Linked DNA regions of Saccharomyces cerevisiae S288C. The protein of the gene in region 3 purifies or fractionates together with the protein of the main gene of each other region. This does not show direct contact. Each region holds a gene or a part of one and is shown on either strand. Other genes may lie near its edges.

The links.
Region 1: the proteins of RIO2 (region 3) and RPS4A purify together in Saccharomyces cerevisiae (affinity purification with mass spectrometry; 5 studies listed by BioGRID). This does not show direct contact.
Region 2: the proteins of RIO2 (region 3) and HRR25 purify together in Saccharomyces cerevisiae (affinity purification with mass spectrometry; 8 studies listed by BioGRID, with this or other methods). This does not show direct contact.

The regions. Positions count from the first base shown.
Region 1 is NC_001142.9:701,527-704,582, forward strand, and holds RPS4A (40S ribosomal protein eS4 RPS4A), read right to left. Parts: upstream 1,543-3,056; coding exon 1,529-1,542; intron 1,273-1,528; coding exon 501-1,272; downstream 1-500. Other genes in the region: MGM101 (Mgm101p), read left to right, coding at 1-165; YJR146W (uncharacterized protein), read left to right, coding at 2,359-2,712; HMS2 (Hms2p), read left to right, coding at 2,670-3,056.
Region 2 is NC_001148.4:162,364-166,260, reverse strand, and holds HRR25 (serine/threonine protein kinase HRR25), read right to left. Parts: upstream 1,986-3,897; coding exon 501-1,985; downstream 1-500. Other genes in the region: cAMP-dependent protein kinase catalytic subunit TPK2, read right to left, coding at 1-5; PGC1 (phosphatidylglycerol phospholipase), read left to right, coding at 2,664-3,629. UniProt on the Saccharomyces cerevisiae protein: Protein kinase which phosphorylates serine and threonine residues. Can use casein as a substrate. Phosphorylates elongator complex member ELP1/IKI3 on 'Ser-1198' and 'Ser-1202' which promotes the tRNA modification function of the complex.
Region 3 is NC_001146.8:253,713-257,130, forward strand, and holds RIO2 (protein kinase RIO2), read left to right. Parts: upstream 1-1,640; coding exon 1,641-2,918; downstream 2,919-3,418. Other genes in the region: Hsp70 family ATPase SSB2, read left to right, coding at 1-188; YNL208W (uncharacterized protein), read left to right, coding at 706-1,305; RTT106 (Rtt106p), read right to left, coding at 3,076-3,418. UniProt on the Saccharomyces cerevisiae protein: Required for the final endonucleolytic cleavage of 20S pre-rRNA at site D in the cytoplasm, converting it into the mature 18S rRNA. Involved in normal export of the pre-40S particles from the nucleus to the cytoplasm.

The sequences.
Region 1 (3,056 bases), on a different chromosome or scaffold from region 3:
TGTTGCAAAGATCTCGGCGTCGGTTCTGAATTATGGGACCCTGTTTTCATAAAGAAATTCAAAGTGGATCATTGTACTGAGAAGTTTGTGGAACATGTTACCACCAAGAGAAAGAAGAAAATTTGGTTAAGAAAGGACAGACAAGTTGAATATCCTTATAAATAGTCAATATGCGAACCATATAAGCTAATTTTAGTAAGTATATATATTCCAATACAATCACACACACACACACACACACACACACACACACATACGCATATATTGTGGTAGTGCGTAGTGTCAGTACGTCTTATCATACGCCTTCTATTTCAGGGTTAGCGTATTTTTACTATCAATATTACAATACGGATATATATACACACACCTAATATATATATTATACGTTATATTACTGCCAGTCGAAAAAGGAAGATACGATGTATTATTTTAAAATTCAATTTCTAATAAACATTAATGGAGATATACAAAAGAAGAAAATAATTAAGTTGTTATGAAATTTATAAACCTTGTTGAGCTCTTCTTCTGTCACGTTCTTCAGCAATAGACAACTTGATACCCTTACCCTTTGGCAAAGAAATGTAAGGCTTACCTTGTTCACCGATGACGAAGACATTGTTCAATCTAGTGACGAAAGTGTTGTCCAAGGAGTCCTTGATGTGAACTAAATCGAAACCACCATCGTGTCTTTCCTTGTGAACGATAGTACCGATACGACCCAAGTTACGACCACCAGTAACGTAAACCAACTTACCGGCATCGAACTTGATGAAATCAGTAATCTTACCAGAGGCCAAGTCGATCTTAACAGTGTCATTGACCTTGATGTTTGGGTCTGGGTATCTGATAGTTCTACCATCGTGGGTAACAACGTATGGAACACCCTTCTTACCTAATTGAACCTTCTTGACCTTACCCAACTTGTAAGAAGCTTCTTCATCGGTGATACGGTGGACAGCGAATCTACCCTTGACATCGTAGACCAATCTGAAGTTTTCATTGGTGGCATCTAGAGTGATGACATCCATGAAACCAGCTGGGTAGGTAGTGTCGGTTCTAACCTTACCGTCCACTTTAACGTGACGTTGCATCAAGATAGCCTTGACTTCACGGCCGTTCAAAGCATACTTTAATCTGTTTCTTAGAAAGACAATCAATGGCAAGGATTCACGCAATTTGTGTGGACCAGCAGATGGTCTTGGGGCGTAACAACCGGACAACTTGTCCAATAACCAGTGGTGTGGAGCTGCTAATCTTTTTAGATGCTTCTTTCTGTACGGAAAAAAATGAGAAAAAAGGGCAAAAATGAATGTATAATGAAGATACAGACATTTTATTTTTTTCATTGTGCTCGTTAGTAAATCATTACTCGTAAAATATTTGTACAATCCCAGGATGATCTAAAATTAAATGGACATAAACTGGTTCATTGTTGTTCCTATTCGTTTGGTTAAGACTCCACTTGTTTCTTGTCTATCATTCTTCTCATCCTTGCGTAATTATAATCAAAGTCTATAGTCAAACATACGGTCCTCTAGCCATCTTTGCGTATTGATTCTTTGGTTTGTTTTGGGCAGAAAAATCGCTATATAAGAAAGTATTTCAACACTAGATTAAATTATAGTATAATTTTTAATATACTAGTATTGCCGACAATCTCTGAAATTTCAATACTACCACACAGAACAGGACTTGCCAGGGCCAGTCCGAGCCAGCCTAACTCCAAGACCACGTACTAAGTGAATTGCTACTCCCCCTTACCACGACTACAAAGAGCTACACGGCCTCCCGGCCTAGGCCGCTGCTACTTTCAACTGATGTCACCGAAAAAAATAACGGAAAACGACAGTTCAAGAAAAAAAGAACGCAGGAAGAAAAAGGAAGCAAAATTACAGAATGTACGGCTGTTTAAAAATAAATAGTGGATGCATGGGTGCTTCCACGCGTCTCTGGGAAAAAAAACCAGGATATTTTAATGTTTGTTTATTTGTTTATTTCCTGCTGAACTGAATATTGAAAACATCGAAAAAATGCAGTACCCAGCTCTCCATTAGGACTTTTTACGTAATGACGAAAATGGACAAGCTGCGCAGGAAAGGACTACGAAAAGTATGCTGCCATAATGACAAGATAAGGCGCAACACACGTAATCATGACTAATGGTTGCACAGACGGTAGGCCAGGAGAAGGATTAGATCTCGTGCCGAACGACAGCAAGCTAGCTAGACTATGTTATCTGAGTGTAAACGAAAGCGCAGCAGTCTCTGCAAGAGCACGTGCGACGTGTCTGGTGTGCAAAAACCCTCTAGAGAAACATTGCTAAGGTTTACCGATGCAGGAAATCTTTAGTTCTAAAAGATGAAAGTCGGAAAAGCCAAAAAGAAACCGGAAATCTTCTCTGCGCATTGTTCTGTGGCCACGGCCTTCCTGGACCCGTCCTTCTTTTACCCGAACTTTGTCGCCCAAAAGGCATCTCATTATAATGACAAAACTGGATCTGCAAATATTTGGACATATATCTCCAGAACGGGCTCACTTCTCCTCTTCACCCAGGTGGTATATAGGAAGAGTAAGTGGACGCATCAGTCCGCGACATTTGCGGACTGTATATATTGCCAGTCAGGGCAGTCGCCAAGTGTGTCTCTTTCGTGTAGCGACGCACGTCAGACATGGATGCAACATCGAGGATGGAGCAGCCTGATGTCTTTGTAAGCAAACTCTACCACCTGCTGCAGGGGAACGCTTACTCGAACATAATACAATGGTCGACTGATGGCAGCAAGCTCGTCATTTGGAATCCGGACCAGTTCACCAAAGTCATCCTAGAGCGATTTTTTGGTATTCACACCTTTGCAGCATTCGTTAAGCAATTGAGCAAATATAACTTCCAGAAGGCGGGCCGCCCGGACTGCGTGGAGTTTTCCAACATTCATTTTCAAAAAGATAACATTAATAGCCTCTCACTGGTTAAAGCTCATCAGTCTGCCGCCACTCCCAATGTCGCCGCCGTCAATAATATGAATAAGCAGTGTACTTTTCACTGGGACCCTTTCAAA
Region 2 (3,897 bases), on a different chromosome or scaffold from region 3:
TCCATACCGACAATTTTCAACAGTATGTGAGTTAACCTGAGTGAAGCTGCTGTTTGTGCCGGCTGTATATTTGCACAAACTTCCTTGGTATTCCGTCGTTATCGTCTCGTGATTGTTTCCTAATCAGACACTATAAGGCAAGTTAATTATCGAAAATACGAATTGATGCTGTCTTCTCAGAGGCCCTCCTTTAAAACCGTCCAATATTCGTGATTGATCTTCGATCGTTAGCCCTTTATTACATAAAAAAAAAACAAATTGGCCAAGAGGTGCTCCGCTCCCCCTTAATTTCCTTCCCGAAGAAAAAAATGCATAAAAAAAGTGGTTCTTTTAGCTATCATCTTTTTAGGTAAGAAGGCCAGAATTGTATATATTAACTCGATATGGAATTGTGTGTACGTATATGTAAATAATAATAATAATATATATATATATATGTGTGTGTGTATGTCTATATATACATATGTTTATTTTTGTGCGTTTTGAGCAATATATGTTGCTTACAACCAAATTGACTGGCCAGCTGGTTTATCTTGAGGCGGCTGTTGTGGATTAGATCTCATTTGTGGAGGTACAGATGCTTGATTAGTATTAAAATTATTGCTGTTTATTTGTGGGGGATACTGAGTAGCCCTGGTTGTAGCCATCGGAACTTGCTGCTGTTGCTCCTGAGAATCTCTTTGTTGCTGCTGTAGTAACGGTTCAGGATAATAATTTGGTCTTTGGCCATTTGGTTGCTGCTGTAGCTGTTGGGGCTGTGGTTGTGGCTGCGAACTTTGGACCTGCTGCTGCGGCTGCTGTTGTCTCAAGTTTTCCATACCTTTATCTAGTGCGTTCAATAATTCCTCTGGTAAAGAAGAGGCTGCATTATTATTCAAGATAGTTTGTTGTTTGATCTCTTCTGGTGAAGGATTATGTTTGTCTTCATTCTTGTAATAGTGGAAATGGGTGGGGAATTTCTTCATGGCTAACAGTTTAATCTTGTTGAAAGTTTCAGACTTGTTGTCTGTGCTGTTACTTGCACTTGCTGCATTGCTATTTGCGTTCAAATCACCTTTTTCGATGAGGAGGTCCCTTTGCTTCTCCACCATCGCCTTTGTGTAACGCAACATTGTCCAATCGAACAAGTGGTCGTTGTGATACTCTAGTTTAATACTCAGATCTTTAAACAGCCTTGCCAAGAACAAATAATCTGGCTTCTCATCGAATTTCAAATTCTTACAGTAAGCCATATATTCTTGAAACTCTAATGGTAAACCTGAACATAGAGTTTCCACGCTAACGTTTAATTTCTTTTCCATGATACGATCATACTTTTGTTTCTTGGTGGTTGCTTTCAAACCCTGCCATGGCAAAGAACCCTTACAAAAATAGATCAAGACATAACCTAGTGATTCTAAGTCATCTCTTCTACTTTGCTCTATTCCAAGATGCGTATTGACACTTGCATAACGAGCTGTACCTGTCAAGGACTTGTTCTCCCTGTAAGGAATATGACGATGTGTGTTGAAATCTCGGTATTTCTTTGATAGACCGAAATCAATAACATGAACGGTGCTACCACGGCGTCCTACCCCCATTAAAAAGTTGTCTGGTTTGATATCTCTATGAATGAACGACCTTCCATGTATATACTGAATACGGCAAAACATTTGCAAAGCCAGCATGATAACCGTCTTAAAGGAGAACCTTCTGTGACAGTAGTTGAATAAATCTTCCAAAGATGGGCCTAGAAGATCGATGACCATAGCATTATATTCACCCTCTCTGCCAAACCATCTGATGAACGGGATTCCCACACCACCGCTTAAGTATCTGTAGACGCGGGACTCATAGTCCAATTGAGGATGTCTGGACCTGATCGATTCCAGCTTGATGGCTACTTCTTCACCACTAATTAAGTTCGTGCCGTGGTAAATGTCACCAAAGGAACCACTCCCAATCTTCCTGCCAATACGAAATTTCCTTCCTACTCTTAAGTCCATCTCTTTTTAATGTATCCTTTCTATAAATATATCTTTTCTTTTTGGTTTTTTTTTTTGGTCGAATATGTCGTAACTTTTCGACTTTTTTTATCCTTGAAGTCTGGAAATATTTTTCTAAGTACCCAACAGAGGTTTAAAGATGCTACTAAGATGTGTTTTCACCACCAAATGCTTTCCTCGAGTGTCGAACCTTTCTTCTCTTTGTATTTCAACCACGTTCCATATATGTGGTCGTGTTTCAACTTTTTTTCTTCGTCTCCTTTTCCTCGTTGCACCAAAAATTCTCCAGAAAAAAAGAAATTCAAACGTGGGCTGCCTATTAGTAGTAAATACACAGACGGGAAGAAGCGTTGAAACAAAGCGAGAGTTGCAGTAACTCTTCACAGTGGTATATGATTGCCACGAAATAATCGTCGATCCAGTGGTAGTTATTCGTATATAGGAGCCTTTTATAGCAATTAGATGGTATCCATTTTGTGGTACTGTTGCGGGTAATCTGCATCACGTGACTATAACCTCTTTTAATTATATCTCTTTATACGCATGCCGTATCGAGGACAATACCGAATTGGTTTAGATCTTTTAGTATACAATTAAGGGAGATATAAAATTGGTGTTGTTGATGTTACTAGTGTTATTGATAAATAAGAAGTGTAAGATAACAACAAGGACACGAGGATGGTTGAAATTGTGGGCCACAGAGCTTTTAAAGCAAGATATCCTGAAAATACGCTACTAGCATTTGAGAAGGCTTATGCAGCAGGTGCTGATGTAATAGAAACGGATTTACAAATGACCAGCGATGGTATGGTGGTGGTAAACCATGACTCAGACACTGGTCGGATGTGGGATAAGAACTTGGTGATTGGCGAGTCGACTTGGGAGGAGGTTAAGCGATTGCGCTGCAAAGAGGATGGTTCCTTAGCAATGATGACATTGAAGGAAATTCTAACATGGGCAGTGTGCCATCCAGGAGCTAAATTGATGTTGGACATCAAATTTACCAACGAGAAAATCATCATGATCAAGACCTTTGTTATCATGTTAGAGGTTAAGAATGATCTTAAATTTTGGCAGGAGAGGATCACGTGGGGGCTTTGGTTGCTGGATTGGTACGATTTCGGTATTGAAACTGGTGTTCTGAAGGATTTCAAAGTTATTGTGATAAGTCTGTCTTTAGATATCGCCTCGCAATTTGTGAAGCGCTCTTTGACACTGAATGATCCTCACTATAAACTTTTTGGTATCAGCGTCCATTTTGTCTCCTCGTGGACAAGCCAATTTAGATTGAGATTACTACCTGTGCTTATGAAGAATGATATCAAGGTCTATTTATGGACTGTCAACAAACCTATAGATTTCAAATATCTGTGCGAATTGCCTATCCATGGTGCTATCACGGATGATCCGATCAAGGCAAGAAAGTTATGCGATGGTCATACCGTGGCGAAGAAGCCTACTGCTGAAAAAAAGTTTGTTGCGCCCAGTCTGGCATCTGTAGATGGGCTAAGATTCCATGCTTTTATCAAAGTTTATAACATCCTTTGCACGCTTCTATATTCCAAATGGGTCCATATTAAGTTGTGCGGTTGGTCTATTGCTTATGTGATTTTTTTGTTCCTTCGAACCATTCATTTTCTTTGATATCCATTCATTGACGTGAATATTATTCTGAACACTTTCTCTTTTACTTCTATATATATTTATGTTCGTATCAAAATCATGATATTATAAAACAAAATTTTCGAACCCTTTCTCTCCGCGAGATTTGAATAGTGATATTTTGGACTAAATCATAAAAAAAGAAAGAAACGATAATGTTAATAGCCATTCATACTAATTGAACACTTGAATTGTTCTGCTCTTTATTTCGAATAAATATATATATATATATATATATACGTGATATTAC
Region 3 (3,418 bases):
CCATCGAACAAACCGTCACTGACCCAGTCTTGTCTTCTAAATTGAAGAGAGGTTCCAAGTCCAAGATCGAAGCTGCTTTGTCCGATGCTTTGGCTGCTTTGCAAATCGAAGACCCATCCGCTGATGAGTTGAGAAAGGCAGAAGTTGGTTTGAAGAGAGTTGTCACCAAGGCCATGTCTTCTCGTTAAGATGTCATTCTGGTTAAGGTTATACACATATATATATTTTTCATTTTTAATGTCTTAGCTTTTGTATCTTAGATGAAGTTTTAGTTCTGTATATCACGATCAAGATATCATACAATCATAAATTCAATTATTCTTCTGTTTCCCCTCTTGAGGCATCAAACGAGTGTTTGACTGATACACACCAACATACTAAGGCAACTTTTCTGGCTGCCCAAAGCTGTGGCACGTATGAAACTGCTTTTCGGCTGCATAAAACAACCATGTGGAGTTTTTACTGTATTCGCATTTCGCCCCGCTAGCATTCTTCGTTCATGCTAAAAATGAGGCGTGGGCTAATATTCAGTATTAATAATTCCGGCACCCGCACAGCCCATACCGGAAAAGGGGCTGGCTGTTGGGCTTGGCAAAAAACTCAATCTGAGCAGTCATTTATAAAGAAAGACTTTAATTTGTCTTGCTAAACACTTGTAAGCCTTCCAAATATAGATCACTTAAGACAATCTAACAAGTGTCCAAAATGTCTGCAAACGAATTCTACTCAAGTGGCCAACAAGGTCAATATAACCAGCAAAACAACCAAGAAAGAACTGGTGCTCCAAACAACGGTCAATATGGTGCCGACAATGGTAACCCCAACGGTGAACGTGGTTTATTTTCCACTATTGTAGGTGGCAGTGCCGGTGCGTACGCTGGATCTAAGGTGTCGAACAACCATTCTAAGTTGAGTGGTGTGCTGGGCGCCATAGGTGGTGCATTCCTTGCCAACAAGATATCTGATGAGCGTAAAGAGCATAAGCAACAAGAGCAATACGGCAACTCAAACTTCGGAGGTGCTCCTCAAGGTGGACACAACAACCATCACCGTCAGGACAATAACAACAATAACGGTGGATTTGGCGGTCCAGGCGGCCCTGGCGGTCAAGGTTTCGGAAGACAAGGCCCACAAGGATTTGGAGGTCCTGGTCCACAAGAGTTTGGTGGTCCAGGTGGCCAAGGATTCGGTGGTCCAAATCCTCAAGAATTCGGCGGGCCAGGTGGCCAAGGATTCGGTGGTCCAAACCCTCAGGAATTCGGGGGCCAAGGTCGTCAAGGATTCAATGGCGGTTCACGTTGGTGAATGGCTCAACAGAGTGAGTGTCATTTTTAGCTAACTACATACTTGATTTATCTATATATACATATATACTACTCGTTTTATTATGATGTCGTAACAAATGACTTATTCGAGAAAAGAAAACGTGAAAAAATAAGCTAAAAATTTGGCGATGAGGTTCTCTGTTGAAGTTGGAACCCGCAATTCATGATTTTGGTAAGGTCAAGGATCATCAGTAATTAGCTTAAAGTAAGAACTACTCAATAATATTAAACCATTTATCCTTGGCTCGTCTTTCTATTGACCAATCAATACTATTTTAAACATCTCTTCTACCACATACTTTCAATCAGACTAGAATGAAATTGGATACTTCTCATATGAGATATTTGACAACTGATGATTTTCGTGTCCTCCAGGCCGTTGAACAAGGTTCTAGAAGTCACGAAGTCGTTCCAACTCCCTTGATTCATCAAATCTCGGGGATGAGATCGCAGTCCGGAACAAACCGAGCCATTAGTGATTTGGCCAAGCTTAGCCTTATTTCCAAAATGAGAAATGTCAAATATGATGGTTACAGGCTAACTTATAACGGTATTGATTATTTGGCTTTGAAAACCATGTTAAACAGAGACACTGTCTATTCTGTCGGTAACACTATTGGTGTTGGTAAGGAATCTGACATCTATAAAGTAAGTGACAAAAATGGAAACCCTAGAGTAATGAAAATTCACAGATTAGGTAGAACCTCTTTTCATTCCGTCAGAAATAATAGAGATTATCTGAAGAAATCCAACCAGGGGGCAAACTGGATGCATCTTTCACGTTTGGCAGCCAATAAAGAATATCAGTTTATGTCCATGCTTTATTCTAAGGGTTTCAAGGTCCCTGAGCCATTCGATAACTCGCGTCATATAGTCGTTATGGAGCTTATCGAGGGTTACCCAATGAGGAGATTAAGAAAACATAAGAATATACCCAAGCTTTATAGTGATCTGATGTGTTTCATCGTTGATCTAGCAAATAGCGGACTTATCCATTGTGATTTTAATGAGTTTAATATTATGATAAAGGACAAACTAGAGGATGAAAACGATTGTGGGTTCGTAGTTATTGATTTTCCACAATGTATATCTATTCAACACCAAGACGCCGACTATTATTTCCAAAGGGATGTTGACTGTATTCGTCGTTTCTTCAAAAAGAAACTGAAGTACGAACCAAAACCTGATTCATCAATGCTCGACACTGAAGGTTTCGGCGATGGTTATAAATATGCGTATCCAGATTTCAAAAGGGACGTTAAAAGAACCGACAATTTGGATGAATTGGTGCAGGCTTCCGGATTTAGCAAAAAGCATCCAGGAGATAGGGGCCTGGAAACTGCCGTTGAAAGCATGAGAAATGCTGTTTATAATTCAGATGACGATATGTCTAATGACGAGGCCGAAGAAGAAAATGGGGAGGGCGATTATTCAGAGGAGGATGAATACTATGACTCCGAACTTGATAATGAAAGTTCTGAAGATGACAGTGAAGATGCACAAGAAGAGGAGAACGAACGTATTATAGAGGCGCTTTCCAGTGGTGTTGAAAATCTAAAAATGGATAAACTAGGAAACTATATACTAGAGTAGTTTAGTTTAGACGACTGCATAAATGGCCGCAAATAATCAAGTTGTTATCCATAATTTTTTTGATTTTTAAGCCATGTTATTCTTCAGGATAAAAAAAGTGGTATTTATGAACTCTTACATATGCGTATTCATGCTATATTATAATATCGAATCTAAGTCAATCGTATTCTACTCCGGATCCATCCTCATCATCTTCATCGTCATCATTATCAATTTCTATCGGAATATCTTCGAGTTCTAACGGCTCCTTAAACTCTTTGTATTGGAGTTCCTGTTCTGGTTGACCATTTATAGAAGCAAAACTATTATCTCTATTCAAAGCGCTTTGGCCCTTTTTGTCTTCCTCTTCATCGTCTTCTTCATCATCTTCTTCTGCTTCCTCTCCGTCTTCTGCACCGTCTGAGGATTCTTGGCCACTCCCATCGGAAAGGTCGCTCTCAGCTTCGAAATTTTGGTCATTTTCTTCATCATCGTCTGAAAACACACCTGCCTTTTTCTCG